4 linked regions of the Caenorhabditis elegans genome follow. The protein of the gene in region 1 purifies or fractionates together with the protein of each later gene. This does not show direct contact. Each region holds a gene or a part of one and is shown on either strand. Other genes may lie near its edges.

Region 1 (5,645 bases):
TTGTCGACCTTCTCGCTTCGAAATGCTCTAGCCACCCAGCTATTCCGGCTTATCGTTCGACTATGCCGTAATATCACACTTCGAAGCATTTAGTGCTGTAGAAAAAATCACTATAGTCTAAACTAAACTGGATTCTATTGATATAAGGAACGTTTAACCTTTTTTTAATATCGAGAATCGGAGATCAGACATTATATTTCAGATAAATGGGGATGAAAAACACGTAAAGTGGTGTAAAAATTTGAGAAACAATGAAATAAATAAGAAAAAGTGGCATTTTTACAGTGAATTTTTAACAAAAAAAGGATATTTATGAAGCTTGACTCGACTCGTCCGACTCGTTGTGTGCTGTTGCAGATGGTCTTGGAACGTCTGGAATATAGTTGCTTCCCATATTTTCCTCTTGACCTGACAATTCCATTTCGTCCGTGGCGGCTTGCATACCAGAATTCCGACCGAGGAAGTTCATTGCTGAAATCAACATTTTTAATGTTTTCCAGAAGATTTTGAAATGAGGACGCACAAAAATGCTTATTTTTGAAAAAAAAATCGTTCCACGACCAATTGAATCGGCTAAATCGTAAATTTAGAATTTTCCTTCAGGTATTTTTTGTCTTTTTTTTTTGTGCTTTTTAATTAAATTTTAATAGTTGATAAAAAATGTTAAACCTCGTATCTGATGTCAAAACTTCTGAAAAATCCGCTTTCAAAAAATTTCCCCAAGAAGGTGAATTTTTCTGCGTCTTCATAATAATTCAGAATTTCCAAATCTACCTCTTGGCGGAACACGTCGTCTTCTCGATCCAGCTGGAGAATCAGCAGCATGAATTTTTCTCCGTGGTCCACTCATATCGTTCTCCAAATCTTCATCATCAAAATAATCGTCATCCTGGAACAAACATTCCTAAAGGATTTAGAAATATTCTAAATGCATTAACTTACATCTGCCTGCTGCGGACGACCGAGATGTTGTGATTTGAATCGAACCGGATGAGCCCAACGGCTTGTCGATTTTCCATGGAATCCATCGTCGGCGAGAAGATCGGCTCTTTGAGCTGACAACTTGTTCCACACATTTTGCATATTTCCGAGAAGAGTTGTCAATCTTGGCATCAGAGAGAATACGGTCATTGTTTTCTCTTCCTTTTCGAAACTATCAGTGAACTCAGCAGCATATCGATCAATGGTTTTGAGCTTTTGAGCAAGCAAGTTAGCTTCCTTCAAAATTTCAAAATTCGGTTGAAGTGTTCCGTCTTGCACTTTTTCGAGATAGGCAACGATTAGCTGAAAATTATTTTTTTGTAAAAAAAATTAAAGGCGGAGTAGTCGAAATTGTTTTATTGCTTTATTAGACTCAAAATTGTCTGAAAACACCGAATTTCATAATGAAACTTCTTGAAAATTTCTCAATAAAAAGTTATGACGGCTCAAAAAATGGCCTAAAATTAGTTAAAATTTGAAATTTGACCGTCTTGCAATGTTGCAGCGGCTGGAAACAATTTTTTTTTTTGAAAGCACCGTCAAATTTTGAGCATACAATGTCATTATCTTGCGTTTTTAACTCGATTTGGGTACTTTAAAGTCGATGGACGGCGAGATTTCGTAAAAAAAAAATTAAAAATATCGCCGTCCATCGGCTTTAAAATACATAAATGAAGTTGAAAACGCAAGATATTTAAATTTTATACTCAAAATTAGATGGAGATTTCAAAAAATTAGTTTCCAGCCGCTTGACAAGTCGGTCAAATTTCAAATTTTAACTACATTTAGGCTATTTTTTGAGCCGTCATAACTTTTTTTTGAGACGTTTTCAAGAAGTTTCATTATGAAATTCGGTGTTTTCAGTCAATTGTGAGTCTAATAAAGCAGTAAAACTATTTCGACTATTCCACTTTAGTTTGCTGCTGTATTGATTTTCATAACGAGATTTCTCAAAATAATATTAATAAACTTTTTAAGTATGTCAAAATTTCAAAAAAAAATAAGAGCCAAAACTGTCTAAATTCTGAAATTTCGCAAACTTTTCATGTCGCAGCAGCTGTTGTTACATATTTTAGTCGTTTAGCTCGCAATTACTAGTAAATGGAGGTACTTTTTTCAAACATTTTTTCCAAAATTAGGTGTCAATCGACTGAAAATGTGTCTTAAATCAACGAATTAATGCGAGATAAGATCGAAATATGCATTTTAGCGAATTTTAGGTATTATTTTAAAATTTTTGAACCGCTAAACAGCATTTTCAGAAGTCTCATTATGAAATTTTGTCTTTTTCTGGCCTCCAATTTCTCGAACGCACATCAACCCGATTCTGAAGCATGCTCATTGCTGCATCTTGAGCCTCCGCGTGTTTCTTTCCAACTGATTTCCCGTCTTTTCCATGTTTCGTTGATAACTTAGCGATATGATTAACACCGACACGTTCACTTTCTTCCGACACTAAAATCCATTCAATTGGCTTATGCTTCTCCTGATCAGTCACGTCTGCTTCAAACGCGAAAAGTGGAAGTTTACGAGTGGTTCCAGCAGTGATAGAGTTGAGTTTAAGGAAAAGTGTCGCGTCGATTTGTCCGGCTTTCTCTGAATTGCGAACCGCATTGGTGAGTTTTGAGAGAAGAGGTTTCTCTTCGGGAGTCAGATTATCATCCTCCCCAGCACAATAAAGACCGATAACTTGGAGCTCGGGAAACACTTCCAGATCTGAAATTTGGGGAAAAAAAACTAAAATGAGCAAGAACAGAGTAAAACTGACATTGATCTGCTCTTTGAAGGAGATGCTCCGTGCTAAAAGTAACCGGCTCAGCCATTTCTTCTGTCTCCATTTTCAGAACAAATGAATTGATCGCCTCGACTTGTCGTCCATTCTGCCGTCCGAGAATTGCTCCGAACACTTTTTTCACAGTAGGACCCTGTTGGACCTTTGTTCTGGAGTAGTGTTCGGACATTTGCATAATAACCAAAGGATGCAAAAGCACCTTCGAGCTACAGCTCCCGCTTGGTGCGTTCAATGCCATTTCTGAAAATTATTTCGAAATTTGGTTTCGAAATCGGTTTTTTTGTTTCAAGCCAGATAATGATTTGGAAATTTTGAAAATATTCCTGGATTCACTGGTGGAAAAACAAGCTAAACGGGAATTTTATTGATTCACATTGACATAAGTTTTACAGAACATAAAACTTCCTACAAAAAAGAGATAATGCAATCGAGTGGAAATTATTTAGGATCCTGGAGCCTTGACGTGGCTAAGTGGTGGAAGTGGAGTTCCGTTGACCAACGAGATGAGGTTGTAGATGGCGATGACAAAGCAGATGTAGGAAAGGACCTTGGCGATCTTGCTGACAGCGACATCGAATGGTCCAGCCTCTTCGGACTTCTTTCCTTCGAGAAGAGCATTGGCGTAGGTATCAACTCTTTTCTTGAGGATTGGATCGTAGAGTCCGTACTTTCCCATGACAAGGTTTCCGCATTTGGTTCCCTCTGGCAGACGTGGAAGGATCTTTCCTCCGGCTCCGAGTTGCCACTCTCCTGGGTTCAGTGGATCGAATTGTTCGAGGGTTGGTGGGGTCTTTCCGGCGTTGGTTGGAACAGCCTGGAAGCTGGCGGTTCTCATGGAAAAGCGAGCGACGCCCAAAGTCTTTCTCAAAGCCAACGACATGATTTTCCTGAAAAATGTGTTTTAAAATGTGGAGAAAGAAATAAAGAATAAAAAAATGAAATTAAGATAAGAAAAGTGAAACGAACACTTTTTATGAACATAACAAATATAATTTGTTAAAAAGAATGAAAAGCTTTATTTATAAACAAGTATTTACAGTGGCCATGGGCACCACTAATAAAATGGAAGAGGACTGGCGTGATAAGCTCGTTTTCCACATTCCAGAACTGCATCAAACAAACGGAAAAGTCCAGTATCTCTTGGTCGCTCTAAACCTCTACGCATTCTTCTCCTCATCACAGCAACCATTTCTTCATGTGATAATTTTCCATCCAAATTGTCATCGAACAAAGTAATCACCACATCCACAACGTGATCCGATAGAGGTATTCCAGTCACTTTGACCGCAACTCGTTGAAGTAGCTTCGCATCTATCGACATTCCAGCCATTTTATGAAAGTGTAGAGCAATATCTACATCGTCAATGTGATACAAAAACTCGAAAAATGCTTTCGTCTCTCCAAAACTGATTCCTTTCAAATTTTCTCCTTTAAATCTTCGTTTAACCCGCTTCAACATATGCTTCTGTTTCTTCTCATTAATTTGAGCATGAAGAAGGAGAAGTTGAGCAAAACTATCTTCGTTGATAAGTCCATCCGGGTTATCCAGTGCATCTCTCCGTTCAAATTCCATCTTTAAAATGTCGTGTTGTAGACGCTCTTGAAACTCGATAAATTTTTCAGACGACAAGCTCCCCTTTCCGTCTTTTCCAAAGAAATATGTTTCGAGAGCGGAGTTTGTCTCGACACGGAACGACTGGTTTGGCGTTATATGATCTCGATGACGCTGTCCTACAGTTGTTTGGGACATAATAAGCTGTTGAACTTTTGTGAATTCTTCTTTATCCAGCGCACCGTTCCCATCTACATCGAAGATTTTGAATGCGAGAGCGAAATCCGCGTGAGAGGCTGGAAAAGTCAATGATATTTTGAAAGAAAAACGAGTATTAAAACTCACTTGAGAGCAGAGTCATGAGAAACAGATAATCACTGAAGTTTATGAGACCGTTCTCGCCGAGCTTGTAAAAAATACTGTCAGGGTCGGAGAACTTGTGACGTTTATGCTTCTCAGGATTATAGTTTTTAAAACTATCAAGCCCCCAACGTCTCGGCTGCATCACACCCGGAGTGAAAGAACGGAGAAAATCCTCAGGAGTCATGAAAACTTCAAAGCGTCCACTGTCTTCGTTAGGATCGATGATCTGAAAAATACAACTAATAAATAGATTTTTGTCAAAGTGACTCACTTTCAGGGTCGCAAAGTATCTGAAAATCTTATCCGGAGTGGAATAAAGCCTCAATCTGTCTTCATATTCTATGATTCTTCGCTCTCTGAATCCCAGTTTCTTCTTCTTTGGCTTTTCTTTGACTTCCTCTACTTCACCATTGCTTTCAGTGACTTCCTGAAGACCGCAAATTAGAAAAATTGCAGGAGTGATAGAAAAATAAACACGTGAGAGGTTGTAAACCTAAGAAGCTTGTGAGAAAAATTAACAGAATAACTGAAACTGACTATTTTTATCTTGAAATCACAACACACAAGCTGGTATTAGGTGAACTAGCAGGAGCAGCTCACTTCTTTTTGTGATGCTTCTGGACGGAACGGCAACGATGCGCTCTTGATCTGATCCTTGAGCCTGAAAAAGCGGTGAAATACGAAAAACAAATCGACGCAGGAGAGCACGAACCATTCGAAATCACTCATCAGGATAACCATTCCAGCGATCACCAAGGCATAATTCCAATGGTACAGCTTTCTGAGCGGTGGCCAAATATACGGGCGGTGCTGATAAACTGAACTGGAGTAATGGGAATATCCAACGCCGCTTGCTCTGAAAAATACATTTTATTGAGTAAACCGGGAGAATATTGACTATATTACCTGTCTGTGTAGTGAAAAACATCCTTTTTCTGCCGAATATTTCCGAGAGCC
Region 2 (7,373 bases), on another chromosome or scaffold:
TGGTTTTTTCGGATTTATTTTTCGTTTTTTTTTTTTAGTAGAAATCATTACGCAATCAAAAATTTTTTGGTAATCCGAAAATTATCGAGCTCGCGAAAATTATGAAAATGAGCAAAAACATATAATTTTCTTCAAAAAATTATAGGAAAAATGGGGCCAAAATTATATGCTTCTTGGTTTTTTTTAACGGAAAAATCGCATTTATTTTAAGAAATTTTTTTTCGATTTGTAGCAACTCGAAAAAGTGAAATTTTCCGATTTTCCAGATTCAATTTTTGTTTTTGCAAAAAAACGGAAAAAAAAATTCGCATTTTCGAATTTTTCTGACATTTTTTCGGTTTTTTTTCGTTTTTTTTGTCGGAGCACTACGGAATCGAAATTTTCCGGTAAATTTTGAAACAACACCTTAAAAAACAGGGATTCGTAAAAATCAAAAAATTTTCTGTATTTCAAGGAAAAAATTTAATTTTCGTAAAATAGCTGAAAATGTGGCCATTTTTCATCTTTTTTTCGAAGAATATTGTAAGTTTTTTATTTTAATATCGAAAATTCTTAGTTTTCGAATTGTTATATACCTAAATTTGAAAATTTGAAAAAAAATAGTTTTTTTCCCCGGAAATACAAAAAGTAACATTTTTTCTCTGAAAAAATCGATAAAAAATCAGTTTTTTGCTCATTTTTAAAGTCTAGTCGTTTGAAAATTTTCTGAGCTCTGTTTCGCATTGGGAAAATTTGGTAATTTTCCACTTTTTTGAAGAAAATTATGTTTTTTCTTTTGAAATTCGATATTTTTCGATTTTCTCTGGAAAAAAATCGGAAAAAAAAATTGAAAGTTGTATAATAGTTCGGAAAAAAATTTTCCGGCAAATATCTACTTTAAATGAATTTATTTATCGAAAATAAGCTTTTTAAGTTATTTTCAGAAAATTAGATTTTTTTTTTGATTTTCTCTGAAAAAAAAATCGATTTTTACCGATAACAGCTCAAAAAGCATTAAAAATTCATAAAAAGTAAAATGTTGCCGAACAATTTTTTATTCCAAACCAGGGGTGTGCGGCAAATTTGCCGATTTGCCGAAAATTGCCGACTTGCCGAATTCGGCAAATTTAAAAAAACCAGCAATTGCCGATTTGCCGAGCTCGGCAATTTTCAAAAAAGTAGATTTTCCGAATTTGCCGAGCTCGGCAAATTTCGAAATTTGCCGCACACGTGAAAAATTTGACAGTACAATTTTGAATAAAACTATTGATTTTTTAGCCAAAAATTTAGTAAAATGACACAAAATTGAGCTATTTTGATGCTTAAACAGACATACTACGCGGAACTTATTCAGAAACCAGATGTGTGTTAAGAATTCAGTAGTTTTGGTGCTCCACAAAACATAAAAAATATCAAATTTTTCCGAGTTTGTTAAGCACGGCAAATTTGCCGAATTTGCCGAATTTGCCGAGCTCTGCAAATTTGCCGAATTTGCCGTGCTCGGCAAATATTGAAAAAAGAGATTTGCCGAATTTGCCGAGCTCGGCAAATTTTGAAAAACCAGCAATTGCCGATTTGCCGAGCTCGGCAATTTTTTCCATTTGCCGCACACCCCTGTTCCAAACTAGACTACACAATTTTCAACTTTTTAATTATCAAAATTCAAAAAATCTGTAAATTTTCGATTTTTTTCAGAGAAAATTGAAAAATATCGATTTTTTCTCCAAAAAAAGTGAAAAATGGCCAAAAATACAATTTTTTTTTCGACATTCGAAAAATATCGATTCTTCTTCAAAATTTTCAAAGCTATGTCTTCCAAAAAATTCGTTTCAAAACTCCGTACATCGTTGATTTTCGGAATAACCCGCAGAAGCTCGCCAGTCCGATGCGAAAGCACAATATTCGATCCGGTCGCATCCATCACATCAACACTTTCAGTCTTTCTAGTCTCCCAGGGCCGGGCCGTAAACGCGTACTGCTTGCTGGTAAGAGCTCCGACCGGACAAATATCGATAATATTCCCAGAGAGCTCTGAAGCAAAAAATTTCTCGACGTAGGTGCCAATTTGAAGATCTTGTCCTCGTCCGGTGGTGCCGAAATCCGGAAAAGCGGCCACTTCATTAGCGAATCGGACACATCGAGTACACTGAATACATCGAGTCATCACAGTTTTCACCAACGGCCCGATATTCTTATCCTCGAGAGCCCGTTTTCCATCGAATCTCGACTGAAGCCGCCCACGATCGGATCCGAAATTCATCGCCTGATCCTGTAGATCACATTCGCCACCTTGATCACAAATCGGGCAGTCGAGTGGATGGTTGTTGAGCATGAACTCCATCACCCCTTCGCGAGCTTTTTTCACGAAATCCGAGTTGGTTTTGACTTTCATTCCGTTCATGACAGGCATCGCACATGATGCGACAGGCTTCACCGACTTCTCCACCTCTACCAGACACATTCGGCAGTTTCCGGCAATTGAGAGACGGTCGTGATAGCAGAAGCGTGGGATGTCGACGCCGACGAGCGCGCACGCTTGGAGAATCGTCATTCCCGGGTCGACGAGCACTTTTTTGTCGTCGATGAAGACTTCGACCTGGAAGAAAATGAGGTGATTTTTAGTGGTTTTTTTGTTGATTTTTACAGGGAAAATCGAAAAATTTCGATTTTTTTTATTTGAAAATCGAAAAAAAATTTTTTTTTTAAGTTTTTTGTTTTCGGAAAATGGAAGAAATTTGTTTCGTTTTTTTTTTTTTTTAATTGAAAAAAATGTTGGGTTTTTAGGTTCCGGAAAATCGAAAAATATATATTTACGATATATTTTTAAAAATTGAAAAAAAAACGAATTTTCGATTTTTTACAGGAAAAATCATCGAAAAAATTCTGATTTTTTGAACTGAAAGCTAAATTTTTAGATTTTTTACAGGAAAATTAGATTTTTTAAAATTGAAAAACGTAATTTTTCGATTTTTTTTTAATTGAAAAACGTGCTTTTTTCATTTTATGTTTTTTTTGTTGATAAATTTAAAAACGAAATGTTTCGATCATTTTAATTGAAAAAAAAAATTAGATTTTTTACAGGAAAAATCGAATAATTTTTATTTTTTTGTAAAAAAAATTGTCAGAGAAAATCGAGCATTTAAAAAAAAATTCGATGTTTACAGGAAAAATCGAAAAAATTCCGATTTTTGAACCGAAAAACTAAATTTTTGATTTTTTTACAGGAAATAACGATTTTTTTTTCAATTGAAAAACGAAGAAATTTAGATTTTTGTTTAAATTAAATAACGTACTTTTTCGATTTGTTCTTTTTTCGGAAATTAAAAAAACTAAATTTTCCGTTTTTTAAAGGAAAAATCTAAAAATTTTTGATTTTTCGAACCGAAAAACGGAATTTTTCGATTTTTTTAATTGAAAAACGAAAACATTTTTGATTTTAGTAAAACATCATTGCACCATGTATTTTGTAAAATTTTCAATTAATAATTAGTGCCAAAATATAGAAAATCACTCGATTCATCGAGAAAATCACATTAATTTCGGATGAAACAGTTGAGAAAAAGCTCAAAACTGTCTTTTTGAGCGCTTTCTCCAACATTTCAGCTAAAATCAAAGTGATTTTCCGATAAATCGAGCGATTTTCTATATTCTGGCACTAATTTTAAATGGAAAATGATGGAAAATTGGAGATTGTAGATGAAATTAAGCTTTTTTTTTGAATTTCTCGCTAGTTAATTCGTTATTTTTTTGCCAAATCCATTTTTCTTCAATTTTTCCGCCGAAAATTCCAGTTTTTTCACCTTTTTCGGTGGAGCCGGAGCCGCCACCGAAAGCGATCTCTTCTGTTGAGCCTTCGACACTCCGCGGACAATTTGTCCACCGACGCGATGCATGGTGCTCTGAAATTGCAATTACTTCCTGAAATTTTTTCCGAAAAATTGAGAGAAAATAAATATAAATCTCGGTAGAAAATTAACCGAATTTCAATTTTTAGAGGAAAAAAAATCAATAAATACCATTTAAACCACCGAATATACAAGAAATAGGGCAAAAAAAAAGAATAAATAATTAATAATTAATTACAACCAAGTTTTAGCTAGTTTTAGCTAGTTTTTAGCGAAAAAAATCGAAAAAAATCAGAAAAAATCCCGTTTGTTAGCATCATTAGCAGGCGAAAGTAAAAATAAAAAATTTTTCGAAAAACTTTTTTTTTCGTTGGGGAATGAGTAGACATTGAATATTACACAGAAAGGGAAGGATATGCACATTTTTTTCAAAAAAAAAAATTTTTTAGACGTGTGGAAGACGAGAATCTTCGACGGCGACGCGAATATTCGGATTGGCCATTGGATCGAAAAGGGGGTCCGATGAGTGCTCGCCGCTGTATCCGGCACGCTTCATCACCATTATAATCTGGAAAAATACAATTTATTTGGAATTAAATGAAGTTAGAATCTAAATTTGCTTGATAAGACTCATAAACACTCAAAATTTGCTTAAAAAGCCATAAAATTCGCTCAAAAATACTCAAAATTCACTCAAAAAAAGTCAAACTTTGATCAAAAAGCCTTAACATTTCCTTCAAAAATACTCAAAAATTGCTCTAAAATACTCAAAAAATTGCTCAAAAAGACAATAAATTTGCTCAAAAAGCCTTAAAATTTGATCAAAATGACTCAAAATTTGCGAAATTTGATTAAAAACACTCAAAATTTGCTCAAAAAGCTCAAAATTCGCTTAAAAATACTCAAAATCGCTCAATTTTAGCTAAAATACACCAATTTCGCCGACTTTTCCGTGTCGCAGCGGTCGGAAATTGACTTATATTTTATTTTCATGAAATTTCATCGTTTATTTTATATTTTTATTGTTTATTACACATTTTTTCGCTATTTAATGTACATTTTAAGCCACACGGCAGACGTTGAGCGCAAAAAATTGTGGGCGGGGTCTGGACCGCAATTCTGCGGCGCGCGATTTCGCAACTCCGCCGCGCTGTTTTTTTGTCAGTCGAAATTTTTTTTTCATGAGATTTTATCGAAATATCTCGAAAAAATCACGATATACTGGAAATTTTATTCGAAAAATGCGAAAAAAAACTTAAAAACTTGTAAAAAATAGTCGCGCGGTGGAGTTGCGAAACATCGCGCCGCAGGATTGCGGTTTAGGCTCCGCCCTCACGTCGTTTTCGGTTTATATGCTTCAAATGTACACTAAATAACGAAAAAAACGTGAGAAAAACGATAAAAATTGAAAATAAACTGTGATAAAATCAAATAAAAGCGAATTTCCGACAGATGCAACACGGAAAAGTCGGCGAAATTGATGTATTTTAGCTAAAATTAGGCCATTTTTTCAGGGAAAAAATATTTTTTTGGCGTTTTTGAGTCTATAAAAGTCGCTTTTTAAAATCCAACCGTAATCAAAGCCAAAACGGCCAGGAAAATCACGAAAAGCGCGATTTTTTTCGCGGAAGCCCGTTCCTGTGGGACCCCGGAGCCGCCATGTTTTGCTCTCCAGAGCCCGCGCATCCAATCCATCGTCGGGCGCCGTTTATATTTATTCTCCTCGTTATCGGCGTCACGGAGCTGTAAAAGTGGACGAGTATCGCTTGAAGATTCGGCTCCGTAGTTCTTTTTTCGCGCAAAAGTGACGTCATTGTTGGAGACCGAGTAGGAAGCGGTGTCTTCCATTTCCAGATGGGTTGCGGGGGTGGAGGATCTGGAAAAAAATTAGAAATTTTGGGAAATTGCAAAAAAAAATGGGCCTTTCTTCAGACTTAGGTTTCTTTTTTTCGTTTTTTTTTCAAATTTTAACTTTAAAATTGGATTTTCTAACACTTTTTCACATAGAAAACGGCTTTTTACGTCGTAAATTGGCCTAAAATGCATTTTTATGTAGTTTAAACGATAAAAAATGAGAAAAAACGTGAGAAAATCGATTTTTAAGTTAAAATTTCGAAAAAAGACCCATTTTTTCGAATTTTTGAGCGGTTTTTTCGCGAAATTCGGTCATATTCACCTATTATTGTGAACTGGCGCCTCTTTGTGCATAACTGCTCAAAATTTGCTTCAAATTTTTCGAAATTAGTTCGAAAATGCTCGAAATTTGCTCAAAAATGTTTAAGATTTGCTCTAAAAAGCTCGAAATTTGCTCAAAAAACTCGAAACTTCCTCTAAAATGCTCTAAACATGCACTAACAAACTCAAAATTTGCTCAAAAATGCTAAAAACTTGATTAAAAAGCTAAAAATTGGCTCAAAAACTCAAAAATTATTCGAAAAACTGAGCATTTGCTTAAAAGGACTCGAAAGCCGCTCAAAATTCGCTCAAAAAAACTCAAAATTTGCTCGAAAACGTCGAAAATTGGCCTAAAATGCATTTTTTTTAAAATGTAGTTTAAACAATAATACTACGGAAAAACGAAGAAAAACTTCGAATTTTAGGTTAAAAAATCGAAAAAAGGCTCATTTTTTCGAAATTTTTCGCAATTTTTTAGTTAAAAATTCGAAAAAAGGTCTTTTGAACCGTTTTTTCGCAAAATTCGTTCATTTTAGCTAATATTCACCTATTATTGTGCACCGGGACCTCTTTATGCATAACTGGAGCATTTTTCAGCTGTGGCGGCGCCGGAGAAGGCACTGGCCGATTGAGTTCCGGAAGAGTCGGGAGCCCGAGCGCTGCTCTTGCCCAGTTGGACTGTTTCAGTTGCTCGCGGAGCTTCTCGATGAGTGGAGAGACTTCATTGATCGGTGGGAAGACTTCCTGACTGCAGCACGGGCATCGATAGCCGGCCGGGGCGGTCGTGGCCGGGAAATTTGCCGCCCACTCGTCGAAGCATTTCCAGTGGAGGAGATCTGTAAGAAAATTGGATTTTTTTTTGCACTAAAAATCGATATTTTTGAATATTTATTGCGTACCACCGCGGCCTTCTGGAGTGTTCATAATTATTAGAGCGCGCTCGCGCGGCACCTCACGATCTCCGGAATTCGCGGGGAATTCGTTCCAGCAGTTTTTGGCTATTTTTGGCTTCTATGGAAATTATTTTTAATTTTTTAATTGATATTATTGTTGAGAAGCACCATCCGAATTGAAAATGTGTAAAATTATGAAATTTCACCAAAAACTGAAGGTTTTACAGAGAGGAGTCACCACGGCTTCTTTAAAATGTATCAGTACCGTCAGTTTTTCGATTTCAGAGTCGTAAATAAGGTCATTTTGTAGGGAAAAGCCTGTTTCACAAAAATCCATGTTTGTAAATTTAATTGTTTGATTTCTAATATAAAATTATTCAAAAAACCAAAAATTTTACGTTAAAATCTAATTTTTTCAATTTTTCAGTTTTTAATAAGAACAATTTTAAAATTTCAAACATTGTTATTAAAAACTGAAAAA
Region 3 (10,482 bases), on another chromosome or scaffold:
TCAAAAAGTTGTCAAATATAAAAATGTGTAAAATTTTAAGCACTACAAATTGTTAGTTGAACATTTTTGAAAATCAAGATTTTCCGCGGAGTTATGCTTATTCCAGAGAGCCGTCCTCCTAGACGCTGCCCTACAAAACTCGTGCTCCACCGACACATCTGACTGCCTGGATTTCAAGTATGAAGATGTGAACTCAATTTTCTTCACTATTTGCTGGGATTCCAAAAACTATTCGAATGGGCTTTATATTGAAACTTTGTTCGATCAAATATTATTGTAAAAAATCGCAAAAATCCATAATTGTGTTAATTATCAAATGTAAAATTCCATGCTCAACTTTTTTACAATTTAAAGTTTTTTGATATCTCCAACCGTTAATGAGATACGGGCGTTTGAACTTGGCGAAGAGAGAGAGAAAGAGAAGGGGGAGAGACGCAGACGACGAGAGCGCGCGCGCCGCCTGCGTCTCCCCTCCCCACACTCTCTCGTCACCGCTAACTTAAAACGCATGTATCGGGAGATAACTAGGTTCGAAGTCTGAATTTTGAGATTTTTGAGTTTTGTTTTAGGAAATTAGAATTTTATTGTAACAGGAAAGGATGTATTAACTGATTTTTCTGTGAGAAAAAAGTATAAAAAAGTTTGGAAAAAATTTTTAAAAATGTCCAAAAAAATTTTTTTTAGATAACTTATACCGTGAAATTTTTTCAAATTTCCACTATTTCCAATTACTCTTTTCAAAAATACCCTCTTAATCAATTTTTTCGCTCCTTCACGCCTTCAAGCCCCTATGACGTCACCAATCCCCAGTGAAAGGGGCCCATGCCTACCCCTGCTAAAAACTACAATATACCCCTAAAACCATCCCGTGAGTAATCAAAAATCGCGTCTAGCGCAAGCTTCCGGCTGAAAAATGCAAAAATCCCAAAAAAAACCGCCCAAAATCGTGCAAAATCTCAGAAAACTGGGCGGAAGAGGACACAAATTCGCCTCTTTGGAAGAGGAAATTACGTCGTATTGTATCGAATGACACCTCTCCCGCGCAACACGATATATATAGGGGACCTTTAAATGGAATAAGACCTATTTGCTAAATTTGGAAATTTGTTGGAAAAAAAAATTTTCTAAACAAAAAAATTTTTGTTTCGGAAATTTTTTTTCCAAAAGATTTTTCCGAAATTTTCTACTATTTTTCATCTAAAATGAACGGATTAAACCACTTATGTAAGTTATTGTTGGATTCAGGACCCACGTGGCCTAGAAACCCCATATTCGGGCTCAGTGGCCTAGAAAATCCAGAAAAGTTAGGCCACGCATGGTTTTTAGCAGAAAACCGTTTTTTTTTTCAATTATGTTTCGTAGAAAACATGCATAATTTCATGGATTCCCCAAATTTTTCTTAATTTTTCAGACATGGCTGAGAAAAAAAACCGGAAAAGTTAGGCCATGGGAAATTTTTCACAAAAAGTGAAATTTTTCCGTGAAGAATCTATTTTTTTCAGTTTTAGTATGAAAAATTTGAAAAATTTCGTTGCTTTTCAATAAAAAACTAATTTTCAGACGTGGCCTAGAAAAATAACCGGAAAAGTTAGGCCACGCAGCATTTTTCTAGAAAATTGCAAATTTTTCGAGAAACGCGTTATGTCTTCACTTTTAATTTTGAAAAACGTGCTTAATTTGCTTTTTAATCAAATTTTTTCAAATTTTAAGACGTGGCCAAGAAAAACCAGCTGAAAAAATAGGCCACGAAATTTTTCTTCGAAAAGCTCCATTTTTCCGCGATTTCGCCGCTGGAAATTAACTTTCGGCCAACGTTTCTGTGAAAATTATTTTTTAAAACTCTAAATATCTGCCAAAAAACCACTGTGGCCTAAACAATTCCATTGATTTTTCCAGTATTCTTCTTACTTATCGTCACGTTTGCCGGATTTTCATTTTCCCGCCCCGACCACCATTCGAGGAACTGCAAAGTAAGTGCGCTCTAGCGAACAACGAAGCTGCAAACGCGCTCCATTGAGAATTTTGCTTAAATGGTGGAAATCTCGGGGGTTTCTGGAGATATATCGATTTTTATTCGATATTTCGCTGAAAAAAATTGAAAAATTTGAGAAAAATCATTCAAAACCCTAGTTTTTCGCCGATTTTTTCCGCATTTTTTCAAGAATTCGGAATATTTTTTGATTTCCAGGCTTACCGACGACCGGCTCTAAACGAAGTGCTCACGAGAATATGCCTACTTTGCCATGAAATGTTTTCAGTCGACCAGCCGAATCTAGCCGCCGAGTGCAGCTCGAATTGCTTCAGGAATCCGGCGTTTAACAAGTGTCTCAACTTTTTTAGGCCGAAATTTTCTCCTTTTCTGGGTTCCACGTGATAAATAAATTGGTTTTAATCGTTAAATTTGAATTTTAATTGACTAAAATTGGTTAAATCGAGAAAAAAAAAGAAAAGAACCACAGTGCGGAGTCGAACCCCGGTGTGTTGCGTGAAAGGCAAAAGAGTTACCAGCAAAGCCACAAAGCAATGTGAACGTAATTTTGAGAGGCGTATACATTGTAGCCATAAATGCTTATTATCTCGATAGCGTATAATATTAATAATTGAGAATTTTGATGTCATTTTCAGTTTAATCTACCAGTATTCTTCTGTAATTTCGCACATTTTGAAGAAATCCCTTGAAAACTTCGCATTTCTATTTAATTCAAAGATTTTAATAATTTTTCTTGAATGTAAAACAAGAAAAGTAATATTTCATTAATTTTTCAACAATTTAGATTGAAAACTCTCTTTAAAACCGCCTTTCTCACCAATTTTTGCTAATTTCAAAGCTTCTCATTCCTCCTTGGAGTACGGTCATCAATCCCCGCCCTTCCAAGTGCGCATTCGAGTCCGCAAACGTCAAACCCGACGCCATATTGCGTACAGGCCAAATTATTTATTTCGGCACCGCGTACTTCATTTTCAGCCATTTTTAGCGGTTTTTCCAGATTTTTTCGCTATTTTCGGTGCTTTTTTGATAAAAAATCGATTTTTTCGACCGGAAAAGCTATTTTTAGCTGGAAAAAATCCCGAAAAAACGCAGAAAACCCATTTAATTCTTAAAAAGTCTTTAAAAATCTTTAAAAATCTTTAAACAATTGCAAATCTCGATTTTCCTAATTTCAGCCATGCTATCAGTGTTGGGTAGATCCGGCTTGGGCGCCCGGCAGGCGGTTTCGGTCGTTGGAAGTCAGAATTTCAGCAGCGCGGTCACCTCCGCCGAAAATGCTCATCCGGAGCCACGTGTCAGCTCTCAGAGTGCTCAATTCAGAAAGGGAGCCGGTGGAAGGTACAGGAAAAGCCTAAGAATGATTTGAAACTGGAAAATGTGGAAAAAATCTAGGAAAAATTGAAAAAACATTGAAAAAAAATCAATTTTTTCCCAAAAAAAATCGTTAAAAATTCCAAATTTTTGCAGAGCCTCCTTCTCCGGCAATGTGGTGACCGTATTCGGTGCGTCAGGCTTCTTGGGACTTCCAGTTGTCAATAAATTCGCGAAAAATGGCTCACAAATCATTATTCCGTATCGCCAGGATCCGTATTACATGAGAGAGCACAAAGTGCTCGGCGAGCTCGGACAAGTCCTCTATTTTCCATTTGAGCTGATGGATGAGGAGAGCATTCGAAAGGTATTAAAATTCGTGGAAATTGAGAGAAAAATCGAGTTTTCTAGGTGAAAATCGAGAAAAATTGGATTTTTCTCTAGAAAATCCAGAAAAAATAGAGTTTTCTCAGTGAAAATCGAGAAAAAATGGGTTTTTCTTTAGAAAATTCAGAAAAAATAGAGTTTTCTCAGTGAAAATCGAGAAAAATTAGGTTTTTTCTCTAGAAAATTCCGAAAAAAAAAGAGTTTTCTAGGTGAAAATCGAGAAAAATTGGATTTTTCTCTAGAAAATCCAGAAAAAATCAATTTTTCAGGCTGTAAAGTACTCGAACGTCGTCATCAACTTGATCGGAACTCGTGTGCCGACTGGGTGAGGAAATTGCAGATTTTTGAGCGGAAAAATTCACAAAATATGCCGGAAATTCAAAAAATTCAAATTTCGCGCCGTTTTTGACCAAATAAATCACTCTTTTTCGCTGAAAATTCGAAAAAATGCCTGAAAAACCTTCAAAATGTGGAATTTAACCCTTTTTTCCTACTGAAAATTCAAAAAATAAATTTTTTTACACCAAATTATCATTCAAAATTCAAAAAAAAAGCTCTTTTTTTCCAGTTTTTTCATTGAAAAACTCAAAATTCCTCACTTTTTCCAACTGAAAATCAATTAAAAATTGAAAAATCCCCTTAAATTTTGAATTTGGCTCCACTTTTTGGCTAAAAATTTGAAAAATGTCCGAAAAATCTTCAAAATTTTGAGTTTCGCGCCGTTTTTTTCACTGAAAATTCAAAAAATATTTTTAAAAAATTCAAAAAAAACTAAATTGCTCAATTTTTCTCCAAAATTTTCGAGAAAACTGCCATTTTCTATTGAAAAATTCAAATTTCCCCACTTTTTCCTTCTAAAAATCCCAATTTTAAGCCATTTTTCCTTGCAGAAAGTACAATTACTATGACGTCAACGACACGGGAGCCCGCCGTTTGGCTCGAATTTGCAAAGAAATGGGTGTGGAGAAATTTGTGCATTTGTCGGCTCTCGGAGCAACTACACAACCACAAAAGGGACATTTTGTCGCAAAATCGCAATTTCTTCATTCAAAAGGACTCGGAGAAGTTGCTGTACGTGAAGAATTCCCAGAAGCAACAATTATTCGCCCATCTGTGATCTACGGTGAATTGGATGGATTTATTCAATATTATGTGTCAAGATGGCGAAAAACTCCATTGGATTATGTGTATTTGTACAAGAAGGGAGAAGAAACGTATAAAATGCCGATTTGGGTACGGAATTGGCCGATAATTCATGAAAAATGACCTAAAATACGTGAAAATTGGCCGAAAATGACTGAAAATGGCTGAAATTTGGCACAAAATTAAATATTTTAACGAAAAACTCACAAAAACCGAGATTTTTTGAAAATTTACGATTTTCACATTAAAAATTGTCAAAAAAATTTTATTTTCCGTTAATATTGATTAAAATTATAGAAAAATCCATTTTCAACCGAATTTTGAACGAAATTAATCAAAATTTCATAAAATACATTTTAAAAAAAGCTCAAAATACGTGAAATTCGCCAAAAATGCTGAACAATTACTTAAAATTCAAAAAAATTGAAGTAATTTGACCAAAAAACTGAATTTTAGTCAATAAAAATTCAAAAATGGCTGAAAATTGTTTGAATATTGAAAATTGGGCGAAAATTCATGAAAAATGACCTAAAATACGTGAAAATCGGCCAAAAATGACGAAAAAAAATTTTTTTTTAAAGTAGAAAATTTCATGAAAATCGAGAAAAATGGTGTAATTTGACCTAATAACTGAATTTTAAAAATAAAAAGTCGAAAATCCGTGAAAATCGGTCTAAATCTACGAAATTTCATGAAAATTCGCTTGAAATTGAGAAAAATGACTCAAAATTCATTACAATAAATCCAAATGAACTGAAAAATGTCAAAATTCATAAAAATTGGCCTAATACAAATAAAATGAGTCCAAATATTTATGAAAAGTCTCGAAATTTCATATAAAGTTGCTCAAAATACGTGAAATTCGCTAAAAATTGCTGGAATTTATTTAATTTGCTTAAAAATTAGAAAAAAATTTCAAAATTCAAGGAAATTGGCATAAGTCCGTCTAAAAATTGAATTTTAAATTTAAAAAGTCAAAAATTCCAACAAATCGGCCAAAAATTACTGAAAATTGTTCAAAATATGACCAATTTTTGTTTGAAAATCGGAAAAATTACTCAAAATTCGAGAAACGCTGTAATTTGCGAAATTTTATGAAAAAAAAGCCTTAAAACCATTTAAATTGGCCAAAAATGACTGAAAATGGCTGAAATTTGGCACAAAATTGAAAATTTTCGGAATTTCACCCAAAATTTCATAAAATTTGATAAAACTAGTCGAAAATTGGTAGAATTTCGGCAAAAATCGTATTTTCACACAGAAAATTGTCAAAAAATTGCTAAAAATGACAAATTTTGACTGAAAAACTTGAATTTTTGCTTAAATTTCATCAAAATGTAAAAATCGGTAAAATTCCAGAAAAATTCACCGAAATTTGCAAATTTTGGCTTAAAATTGTCCATTTTTGCCGAAAAAAAATTGATGGTAGGCGGCGGTAGGCATAAAGTAGGCACAATTTTTTTTTTGCGAAAAAATGCAAAAAATGTCCAAATTTCGCATATTTTGACTCAAAACCTCGGCCAAAAATGGTGTAATTTGACCTAATAACTGAATTTTAAAAATAAAAAGTCGAAAATCCGTGAAAATCGGTCTAAATCTACGAAATTTCATGAAAATTCGCTTGAAATTGAAAAAAATGACTCAAAATTCATTACAATAAATCCAAATGAACTGAAAAATGTCAAAATTCATAAAAATTGGCTTTTAATACAATTAAAATGAGTCCAAATATTTATGAAAAGTCTCGAAATTTCATATAAAGTTGCTCAAAATATGTGAAATTCGCTAAAAATTGATGGAATTTATTTAATTTGCTTAAAAATTAGAGAAAAAAAATTTCAAAATTCAAGGAAATGAGGCTTAAAGTTACCTATAAACGCTGGAATTTGCGAAATTTTATGAAAAAAAGCTTTAAAACCATTTAAATTGTCCAAAAATGACTGAAAATGGCTGAAATTTGGCACAAAACTGAAAATTTTCGGAATTTCACCCAAAATTTGATAAAACTAGTCGAAAATTGGTAGAATTTTGGCAAAAATCGTTTTCTCCTCAAAAATGTAACAAAATTTTCGATTTTCACACAGAAAATTGTCAAAAAATTGCTAAAAATGACAAATTTTGACTGAAAATCTCGAATTTTTGCTTAAATTCCATCAAAAATGATGATTTTTTCAGAAAAATTCACCGAAATTTGCAAATTTTGGCTTAAAATTGTCCATTTCTGCCGAAAAAAAATTGATGGTAGGCATAAGTAGGCACCATTTTATTGCGAAAAATGACCAAATTTTGGATATTTTGACTCAAAACCTTGAATTTTTGCCAAAATTCAATTCATTTTTCGCACAATTTCAGTAAAAATAACTCAAAATTTACCATTTTTTGCCGAATTTTCAACGAAATTGATCAAAATTTCGAGAAAATCGGCGAAAAATCACTAAAAAAATCTCGATTTTCTTGCAGGTTGCTTTTTTAGTTTTTAGTTTTAGTTTAAAAAAGAAAAATCGGCCAAAAATGAGTGAAAATTGTTCAAAATAGGCCCAATTTGTTTGAAAATTCAAAAAATTACTCGAAATACATACAATTCGGCCTAAAACTGCCTATAAACGGTGGAATTTGCGAAAATAAGCGAAATAAAAAAAAAAGCTTTAAAAACGTTTAAATTGGCCAAAAATGACAAAAAATGGCTGAAATTTGGTCCAAAATTGAAAATTTTGAAGAAAATTGACGATTTTTGACGAAAAACATACAAAAAATCGTTTAAAAATGTTATCAATTCCAATTTTCGGTAATTTCCCATATTCACTTGAAAAAAATTGTTGAAACATTGCTAAAAATGGCAAGTATATATATTGAATTTTTTGGTTAAATTCCATTAAAAAACGGTATTTTCGCGCGAAATTTCATTAAAAGGAGTGAAAATCCGTAAAATTTCAAAAAAAATTCACAGAAATTTGCAAATTTTGGCTCAAAATTTACCATTTTTTGCCGAGTTTTCAACGAAATTGATCAAAATTTCGAGAAAATTGGCGAAAAATTCCGATTTTCTTGCAGGTTGGAGACGTTGCCGCCGGAATTCAAAGTGCTGTAAATGATCCAACAGCAAAAGGACATACTTATGAATTTGTTGGACCACACTGCTATCAATTGTCTGAATTGATTGATTTCATGTACAAAAAAGCGCATTGTTTGTCTGATTTTGGATTCAGGTACCCGGTTTTTCGATTTTCCCGCCGAAAATTGGCCTAAAATGAAGGAAAATTGCTAATTTTTGGGCAAAAAAATCATGAAAATTGATAATTTTTAACGAGAAATTCATGAAAATTGGACTTAAAAATCGTGAAAACTGGGTCTCGCCACGAAAACTTTATTTTTTTCAAATTTAAAGGCACATGGGTTGTGCATCAATCAGGAAATTTTGAAAATTCGAATTCTCCTCAAAATTCTAGGCTTGTAGCTTTAATCGGGTCTCGCAACGAAAATTTCACGAGTACAGTAACCCGCGAGATATTATTCCGTGGCGAGACCTTAAAAAATCAAAAAAATCAATATTTTCACTGAAAATTGATGATTTTTAACGTGAACTTTATGAAAATTGGCTAAAAAATATAAATTTAGACGTAAAAATCGTGAAAACTACATTTTTTTTTGGGTCTCGCCACGAAAAAGTTGAAAAAAAAAAATTTCTTGAGTACAGTAACCCGCGAGGTATTGTTTCGTGGCGGCGGGACCCAGGCGTGAAATTTCGAGAAAAATCGCGAATTTTTCAATTATTTTCGTGGCGGGACCCGAGAAAAAGCTCAAATTTTTGCAGATACAAGCGTCACGGAATGCCGGATCCATATTTCATGGCTCTCACAATGGCCACCGAACTCTATGGTAAAGTGTTCAAGTGTAAAGTTCCACTCAACAGAGAATGGATGGAGTTTGTGGTAGGTTTTAGGGCTTAAAATGAGCAAAAACGCCTCAAATTTTAGATTTTTTTAATTAAAAATCGGTTTTCCGCCAAAAATCGGGCAATTTTTACGGAAAAATCCATTTTTTAAGTGAAAAACACTTAAAAAAAACTGATTTTTGAGTCAAAAAATTGGAAATTTCGGAAAGCCTACCTACGCCTGCCTTGTGCCTACCGTTGAATTGTTAAATCAGGTAGGCGTAGGCACAATTTTGAGGAATTTTTTTTGTAGAAGTGGCGGAAACAACCCGATTTTCATCAAAAAAATTCGAAAAAAATCGAAAATTTTTTCAAAATTATCGATTTTTAGTCGAAAAATGGATTTTATTGATTTTTTTTTTTGAAAAAAAAATTTAGCGAATAAAATCGATAATTTACGGAAATTATCGATTTTTTGTTGATTTTCAAAAAATCGATAAATTCCGATTTTCCGACAAAAATTCAAAATTTTCTGAAAATTATCGATTTTTTTTGCTATTTTTGTAATTTTCAGATAAAAATCGGAATTTTTTTAAAAGAAAAATCGAATATAAAATCTTAAAAAAATAAAAAAAATTTAATATTTTTAAAAATTACCGATTTTTTGTCGGAAAAGTGATTTTATCGATTTTTTGTTGAAAAATTTCCGCGGAATTTTTTTTGAAACAAAGATTTCTGAAAATTATTGATTTTTTTTTCTATTTTTCGCATTTTTCAATTGAAAATCGGAATTGTTGAAAAAAAATCGCATAGAAAAATTTCCACCGATAATTTTTGAAAATTATCGATTTTTGATTAAAAAATTCGCGAAAAAATCGATAATTTACGGAAATTATTGATTTTTTCTAATTTTGCATTTTCAGGAAGTACAATCGGACATTTTGACGGGCGAAAGAACTCTCGCCGACCTCGGAGTCCGCCGATTGACTGAATTCGAATTGGCTGGTGGACAACAAGCATTTTATCGATCATTTAATCGATATTTCGAAGAACAATATGGAGAACTTCCGGCTCCATCACTTCCACTTCGTTCACCACCACTTACCAAAAAGAACACTGGCCGAGGAGCAACTGGAATCAAGTCGGAAACGAGCAAAAATGTCGCTTTTAATTAAGATTTTTTTTAATCGATTGTTTTTTCGATTTCTGTGTTGTCTTTGGTAGTTTAAATAGAGCGATTTTAATTTTTTTTTGGTTCTAAATTTTTTTTCTAGAAAAAACTGAATTTTGTATTTATACGCGTAAATGAATCGAGAATTTTGATGGGAAAAATTGGTAGATTTGCAAAAATTCTGAAAAAAAATTATAAGAATCCTGAGAAATTATGAAAAATAAGAAAAAAGAGCACAAAAAATCAGTAAAATCAAATTTCCTTTAAAAAATCGATAATTTTCAAAAATTATCGATTTTTGTCCGAAAATGAACGAAAAATCGATAATTTTTGGTAATTATTGACTTTTTTCGGAAAAATAAACTAAATCAGATTTTAATTTGGGCTGTTCCGAAAATTAGCAAAACAAATCAATAATTCCTTTTTTTTCCGACAAAAAATGGATTTCTTTTCGAAAATTATCGATTTTTAAATAAATTTTCACACAGGAACTCTACAAAAAATAATTTAATTAATTCAATTATTGCTTTATTTTTGTATATATCCGACATGAAAGAAATTAAAAAACACAGAAAAATCGATAAAATAACCTATAAAAAATCAATCAAT
Region 4 (6,365 bases), on another chromosome or scaffold:
ATTTTGTAAATTAAATTTTGTGTATGTTGATGAGAAACAAAAAGAAAAATGGCCAAAATTTTAAGATATATTTGATTTTTTTTCTATTTTCCACAGTTTTTTGAGCATTTCTTCAATTTCTCAATTGCCATCTCGAGAGATCAATCCGATTTCTTTGCATTCGGCTCCTTCGGTGTCATTTTTTGAGTCGCTTTCTTCAGCGCCGTATCTGAAAGTATTCCTCTTTTTTTTCTTTAGTTTAGACTATTTTTCATTTACTTTGTAGATTTTTCCCCATTTTTCCCTCCACATTTCTGTCCCGCTTCTGATTAAGATTAAAGTATTTTGATTTGATTTTTGAATTTTTAAGTTTTTTTTCGTTGGTTTTTATAGTCGGTTGAAGCTCCCGAATTTGCATTTTTCTTTTATTTTTTATTATAACTAAGGGTTTCGTTGAGAAACTCGGTTTTTTTTCAGAGATGATCGAAAAAAAAAATTGTTTTTTGAGGAAAAAAAAAATTTTTTCATTAAAAAAGGCAAAAAATTATCGAAATTTTGAAAATGCCTCGAAAAAAAAACGAATTTTTTTTCAAAAATAAAAAATAAAATTTCGGATTTTCTCGGAGCAAAGCTAATATTGATGAGAAAAAGCATAGGAAACCCTGCAATTTTTTTCAAAAAACAAAAAAAAACGAAAAATTACCAACATTTTGAGAGATTTCTCGAAAAATAGATTTGTTTTTTTGGAAATATCGAAAAAAAAATTAGTTTTTATATTTTCCCGAAAATAATTGGAAAATTATGTTGTTTATATTCATGAGAAAAATCTAACATAATTTTATTTTAAAAAAAAATGACCAAAACTTTGACATATTTCTCGAAAAATCAATTTCCGGAAATCGAAAATTTTTTAACTAACTAAAAATTCTCATAGAAAAAAAAACATCATCGATTTTTACCTGAAAATCTAAAAAAAAAAGATATATATCGAGTATTTTTAATGTTAAATACAGAAGGAATTGGCAAAAGATGGCCAAAAATTATTTTTCCGGCAAATCGGCAAATTGCCGGAATCGACAATTTCCGGCAAATTGTGGCCTTGCACATTTTTTTGGAACTTTTGAAGAATTTCAATTTAAATAGGCAAAGAAATTTTTAAAAAAGGCATCCAATGAATGTTCTTACATCTATTTTAAAAAATTAAAAATTCTATGAAAATATCTAACGAAAAATGGGAAAAAATTTTAAAAAGGCACAATTTGGAGTGTTTCCGTTTTAAAAAAATCGCTCTACAAATTTCCGTCATATCGATATCCGGCAAATAGGCAATTTGCCGAAAATGAAAAATTCCGGCAATTTCCGCACACGCCTGGGTCAATCGATATTTTTCTCACAAAATTCAAAAAGCTGACTCACCCGGCTCATCAGGAGTTTTCGAATTAATATAAATAACTGTGAGAAAGACGAGAAGCGCGACGACAGGAATAAAAACGTGAACAGCTGAAAATTCATGAAAATCGGTTGAAATTAATTTAATATATTTAACTCACATTCAACGAGATTATAGACGGCGTCCATGTTTGACAGAGCCCCAAGTTGCCTTCTTGCTCCGAGAGAGAAAGAGCACACACTACTGCGCTTGATATCGATTTTTGTGTGCTGCGAAAAGCGTTGAAGAAAACGGAAAAGGAGACCTCCGTTACGAAAAAGATGTGAAAAAGACGAGAGAGGGGGGGGGGGGAGAAGCTCGGATAATAAAATGAATAAACTGGGAGAAAGAGGAAAAGACTTTTGTGGATTTTCAACAATTTTTTAGTAGCAAAGATTCGGAAAATTAGCCGATTTTCCTGAAGAAAAGTTAGTATGAATAAAAAAAATAAATTGACGAAATTTTTTTGAACTTGGAATCCACTTTCAACAATTTTTGAATACAAAGATTTGGAAAATTTGGCGATTTTTTGCGGAAAAATTAGTAGATGGATGGAATTTTGCTGAAATTTTGCTGGGATCCACCGAAAATAGGAAAAATAGCTTAAATTGCGAATAGGTTTTGCAAAAAAAAAATTTTTGTTGAATTTTTGAAAAAAAAGCAATTTTCTAGAAGAATATTTTATTGGTTTTATCTAGTTTTTTGGGAATTTTTTTTTGAAATTTTTCCAAAATCTGGGATTTTTCACCATTTTTCCTTTTTTTTGCGTGATAGTTTGAGATTATTCATGATTTTTCTTCTCTCGAGGCATTTTTTCGAAATTTATTCAACAAAAATTACATTTCATGGCTTTTTTGATCTTGTAGCGTGCCTTTTTATCCAAACAGTATTTAATTTTAGGATTTTTTGGGTAATTCTGAAATTATTACGGGAACACAATTCTAAAAATGCGTATTGCACAACACATTTGACGCGCAAAATATCTCGTAGCGAAAACTACAGTAATTCTTTAAATAACTACTGTAGCGGTTGTGTCGATTTACGGGATCTCGATTTTTGAAATTAATTAATTTAACGATTGAATATTAAAATTAATTTTCTTTAAAAAAAATCGATATCCCGTAAATCGACGCTACCGTATTCATTTAAAGAATTACTGTAGTTTTCGCTACGAGATATTTTGCGGGTCACTCAGAATTTTGCGTTTCCGTAATATTAGTGTGTTTCTTTTTTCGATTTTCCGATACTTAGACAAATTATTTTTTTTTTTCGAAACATGTCTATAAATTTTAGCTATTTTTCTTCTTTTTTTTTGAGAAAAATGTTTTTTTTCCTATTTATGCATTTCCTCATCGACATAAAAAAATTAACACAGATTTTAAAATTTTAGTTTTTTTTTCTAAAACATTTTCTGATTATCTCTGAAAAAAAAACCGAAAAATCGATATTTTGCTTCTCAACTCATAATAAAATTCCAAAATTCCAGAACATCCGCAATGGCAACTGGTAACCGTAATCCGGAGAACTTCACATCATTGTCACCAATCGTAAAGGCTCCAATAACCGATACTCTTTCGGTTCCACTCTCCCAACAGGGACGTATCTGCGGATTCTTTGAATCTCAATTCTACCGTTGTATGGAGGCTTACGGAGCAAAGATGGGACGCAAGTATTGTGATCTCGAGCATCGTGACTTCCAGGAGTGTGTCACTGGGGATAAACAGAAGAAGGTTCGATATCCGGAACAGAACTGTCGCGAAAAAAAATTGGACTAAAAAACAAAAAATTAGTGAAAACCAAATAAATTTGATCCCTTGAATTTATTCTTTTAACGGAGGACTAACGGTTCGGACGATTTTGAACGTATAGACCCAAAATGTTCTCAAATGAACGAATTTCGTAATGAAACTTTTCAAAAAATTTCCAAAAATTTTTTATGGCGGTTCAAACTTTTGAAAAAATTACACTGATTTTGGCTAAAATCTCGAATTTTGCCCATTTTTCCGTGTCACATCTGTTCGAAGTTGGCTTTTTTTGGAATTATCGTCCTTTATTACATATATTGGTAATTAATCTCATTTAATTTCGTGGATCAAATAACATTTAAAGCCGATAGGTAACCAATTTCGATGATTTTTGGTTACCTATCGGCTTTAAATGTACTTTAATCGACGAAATTAAATGAGATAAACTACCAATATATGTAATAAAGGACGATAATTCCAAAAAAGCCAACTACGGACAGATGTGACACGGAAAAATGGGAAAAATTCGTGATTTTAGCTAAAATCAGTGTTATTTTTCAAAATTTTGAACCGCCATAAAAATTTTTTAAAAATTTTTGAGCAGTTTCATTACGAAATTCGTTCATTTTCCGGAAATTTCTAAAATTCTAATTTAAAAAAATGTTCCTTCATTTTTCTGATTTTTGAGTTTATTTTCTCGTCTTCTTTCATGCAATTTTTCCGATTTTTCTCCTATTTCTAAAGAAAAGAAAAATCGAAAACTCTGAAAAATTTGGTTTTTTAACTTTTGGATTTTTTTTGTTGATAAAATCGAATATTTTTGGTTTTCGATTTTCCTAAAAATTTAAATGTGTGTTCTCCAGTTTTTTTGCCCTGAAAGAGAAAAAACTACCATAATCTTTTTTCTGCGCATCGAGACCCATCTGAATAAACCCGTGCGCCTTTAAAAAACATCACATGAAATTCCAAAATAATCGAAAAACAATTTTCCAGAGAGCTGACGCCATCCGTGAACAACGCTGCAAGCTGTTCCTCGACGGAAAAATCGCGAAGCCATACGTCGACAATCATCCAGAACCGGGACAATTCAAGACTGATCACTTCCAGTGGAATCGTATCAACTAGATACTTGAAGTGCCTTTAGTTTCGAGAGAAATCGCCTTATTTTTTGTAGTTTTCATTTCTTTTTTCTTTTTAATCTTTTCTAAGTACATAAAAAGATTTATAATAAAAAAAAAAAGAAGCAAGTTAAGAGATCAATAATAGTCCGGGTAACACATCCAATGACACAATAATATCTATATCTATAATGAAATATGAAATTAAAAATGGAAGAAAAAGTCGCCGCCACCACGGCCGCCACCACCACCACCGCCGAATGGATTAAATCCGTGGAAATTATGAAATCCGTGTGATCCTCCACCTCCACCTCCACCCCTCCCTGCTTCCGAATCCAGTGGATCTTGTCCATTATCGAAAGCTCGCCGCTTCTCCTCATTGCTCAAAACTTCCTTCGCCGCGGCAATATCGATAAACTTCTTCTCAGCTTTCTTCTTCTCCTTCTCATCCTGAAAGTTGTCCGGATGCCATTTTTGAGCCATTTTTCGATAGGCTTTTGTGATTTCTCGTTTATTGGCGTTCCGGCGGACTCCGAGAATTTTGTAGTAATCTCGTTTTCCGACGAGTTCCTTTGCACGCTTTGCTTGATCTTTTCCAGTTCGGACGGCGTCGTTTGATGAATCCCATTCTTCGGCTTTTTCGTAGTCAGCGATTGCTGGAAATTAGATTTTGATGATCGATAAATCCGTGAAAAGCAGCGCCGCACAGAAAAAGAGGCGGGGCTTATTTTTGCAATCCTGCGGCACGGTTTTTCCTCCTTTTTATTGATTTTTTTCAATGAGAAATTCTGAATTTCGTCAAAATTTTCTGTTAAAACGAAGAAATAGCGTGCGGAGGCTTGCGAAAACCTGCGCCGCACAGAAAAATAGGCGGAGCTTATTTTTGCAACCGTGTCGCACCGGTTTTTCCTCCTTTTTATTGATTTTTTTCAATGAGAAATTCTGAATTTCGTCAAAATTTTCTGTTAAAACGAAGAAATAGCGTGCGGAGGCTTGCGAAAACCTGCGCCGCACAGAAAAAGAGGCGGAGCTTATTTTTGCAACCGTGTCGCACCGGTTTTTCCTCCTTTTTATTGATTTTTTTCAATGGAAAATTCTGAATTTCGTCAAAATTTTCTGTTAAAACGAGGAAATAACGCGCGGAGGCTTGCGAAAACCTGCGCCGCACAGAAAAAGAGGCGGGGCTTATTTTTGCAATCCTGCGGCACGGTTTTTCCTCCTTTTTATTGATTTTTTTCAATGAAAAATTCTGAATTTCGTCAAAATTTTCTGTTAAAACGAGGAAATAACGCGCGGAGGCTTGCGAAAACCTGCGCCGCACAGAAAAAGGGGCGGGGCTTATTTTTGCAACCCCGCGGCACGGTTTTTCCTCCTTTTATTGATTTTCCGAATGAAAAATCCGATTTTCATTGAATTTCGTTGAAAATTTCTGTTGAAAATGAGGAAAAAACGTGCGGCGGCTTGCGAAAACCTGCCCCGCACAGAAGGTTGCAAAATTACGCCCCGCCCATTTTTCTGCGCGGCGCAGATTTTTTTCTCATGTTCAGCAGAAAAATTCGAACTAATTAAAATCGGATTTTTTTTGGAAAAAAAAAATTTTAAAAAAGCATTTCCAGTAAAAATCCATTTTTATTTGAATTCTGTTCGAAATTTCCTGTTAAAAACGAGGAAAAAATAAATAAAAGCGTGCGGCGGCTTGCAAAATCGATGTTCAATCGCTCCGCCCCCCACGACTGGGTCTCGTTAGGTATTTCGCGCCCTTTTTAAAAATGGTTTCCGTTGTTTTAATAATTTTTATGACGAAATTTATCCAATTTTTAGACATAAAACTCATTAAAAACACCCTAAAATTGTTAGAATTCATGAATTTCCCACCAAATTCCTAACGAGACCCAACGTTCTGGGGCGGAGCCTTTTAAATTGGCCGTGGAGCGCGCTTGCAGAGTAACTTCTAAAACGGACCCATATCATACTCCTCGTCTGCCATATAAGCTTCAGCTCTCTGAATCAACGTTTCCACATCAGAATCATCAAATTCCAGTACTCGAGTACACTGTTGAATGGCTTCTCCTAGATTTCCGTCTTCTCGATTAC

The links.
Region 2: the proteins of kdp-1 (region 1) and nuo-5 fractionate together in Caenorhabditis elegans (co-fractionation; one large-scale study listed by BioGRID). This does not show direct contact.
Region 3: the proteins of kdp-1 (region 1) and nduf-9 fractionate together in Caenorhabditis elegans (co-fractionation; one large-scale study listed by BioGRID). This does not show direct contact.
Region 4: the proteins of kdp-1 (region 1) and nduf-5 fractionate together in Caenorhabditis elegans (co-fractionation; one large-scale study listed by BioGRID). This does not show direct contact.

Annotation. Positions count from the first base shown.
Region 1 is NC_003282.8:13,298,196-13,303,840, reverse strand, and holds kdp-1 (KASH (Klarsicht/ANC-1/Syne Homology) Domain Protein), read right to left. Parts: upstream 3,654-5,645; coding exon 3,216-3,653; downstream 1-3,215. Other genes in the region: Y67H2A.7 (Peptidase M3A/M3B catalytic domain-containing protein), read right to left, coding at 1-89; csn-6 (COP9 signalosome complex subunit 6), read right to left, coding at 311-471, 775-904, 943-1,284, 2,297-2,697, 2,750-3,011; micu-1 (Calcium uptake protein 1 homolog, mitochondrial), read right to left, coding at 3,828-4,621, 4,671-4,914, 4,960-5,115, 5,289-5,349, 5,401-5,544, 5,595-5,645.
Region 2 is NC_003283.11:2,695,477-2,702,849, reverse strand, and holds the start of nuo-5 (NADH-ubiquinone oxidoreductase 75 kDa subunit, mitochondrial), read right to left. Parts: upstream 3,879-7,373; 5' UTR 3,873-3,878; coding exon 3,780-3,872; intron 2,576-3,779; coding exon 1,823-2,575; intron 1-1,822. Other genes in the region: Y45G12B.2 (Zinc finger protein-like 1 homolog), read right to left, coding at 4,270-4,392, 5,397-5,700, 6,547-6,835.
Region 3 is NC_003281.10:3,241,259-3,251,740, reverse strand, and holds nduf-9 (NADH dehydrogenase [ubiquinone] 1 alpha subcomplex subunit 9, mitochondrial), read left to right. Parts: upstream 1-3,165; 5' UTR 3,166-3,167; coding exon 3,168-3,328; intron 3,329-3,457; coding exon 3,458-3,668; intron 3,669-3,957; coding exon 3,958-4,013; intron 4,014-4,578; coding exon 4,579-4,921; intron 4,922-7,882; coding exon 7,883-8,037; intron 8,038-8,642; coding exon 8,643-8,760; intron 8,761-9,625; coding exon 9,626-9,877; 3' UTR 9,878-10,024; downstream 10,025-10,482. Other genes in the region: Y53G8AL.3 (CUB domain-containing protein), read left to right, coding at 107-280; Y53G8AL.4 (Apple domain-containing protein), read left to right, coding at 1,203-1,224, 1,897-1,970, 2,189-2,374; Y53G8AL.1 (FHA domain-containing protein), read right to left, coding at 10,478-10,482.
Region 4 is NC_003279.8:2,999,377-3,005,741, reverse strand, and holds nduf-5 (NADH dehydrogenase [ubiquinone] iron-sulfur protein 5), read left to right. Parts: upstream 1-2,894; 5' UTR 2,895-2,904; coding exon 2,905-3,138; intron 3,139-4,146; coding exon 4,147-4,278; 3' UTR 4,279-4,382; downstream 4,383-6,365. Other genes in the region: Y54E10BL.3 (CcoQ/FixQ family Cbb3-type cytochrome c oxidase assembly chaperone), read right to left, coding at 141-208, 1,396-1,479, 1,530-1,557; dnj-28 (J domain-containing protein), read right to left, coding at 4,476-4,927, 6,234-6,365.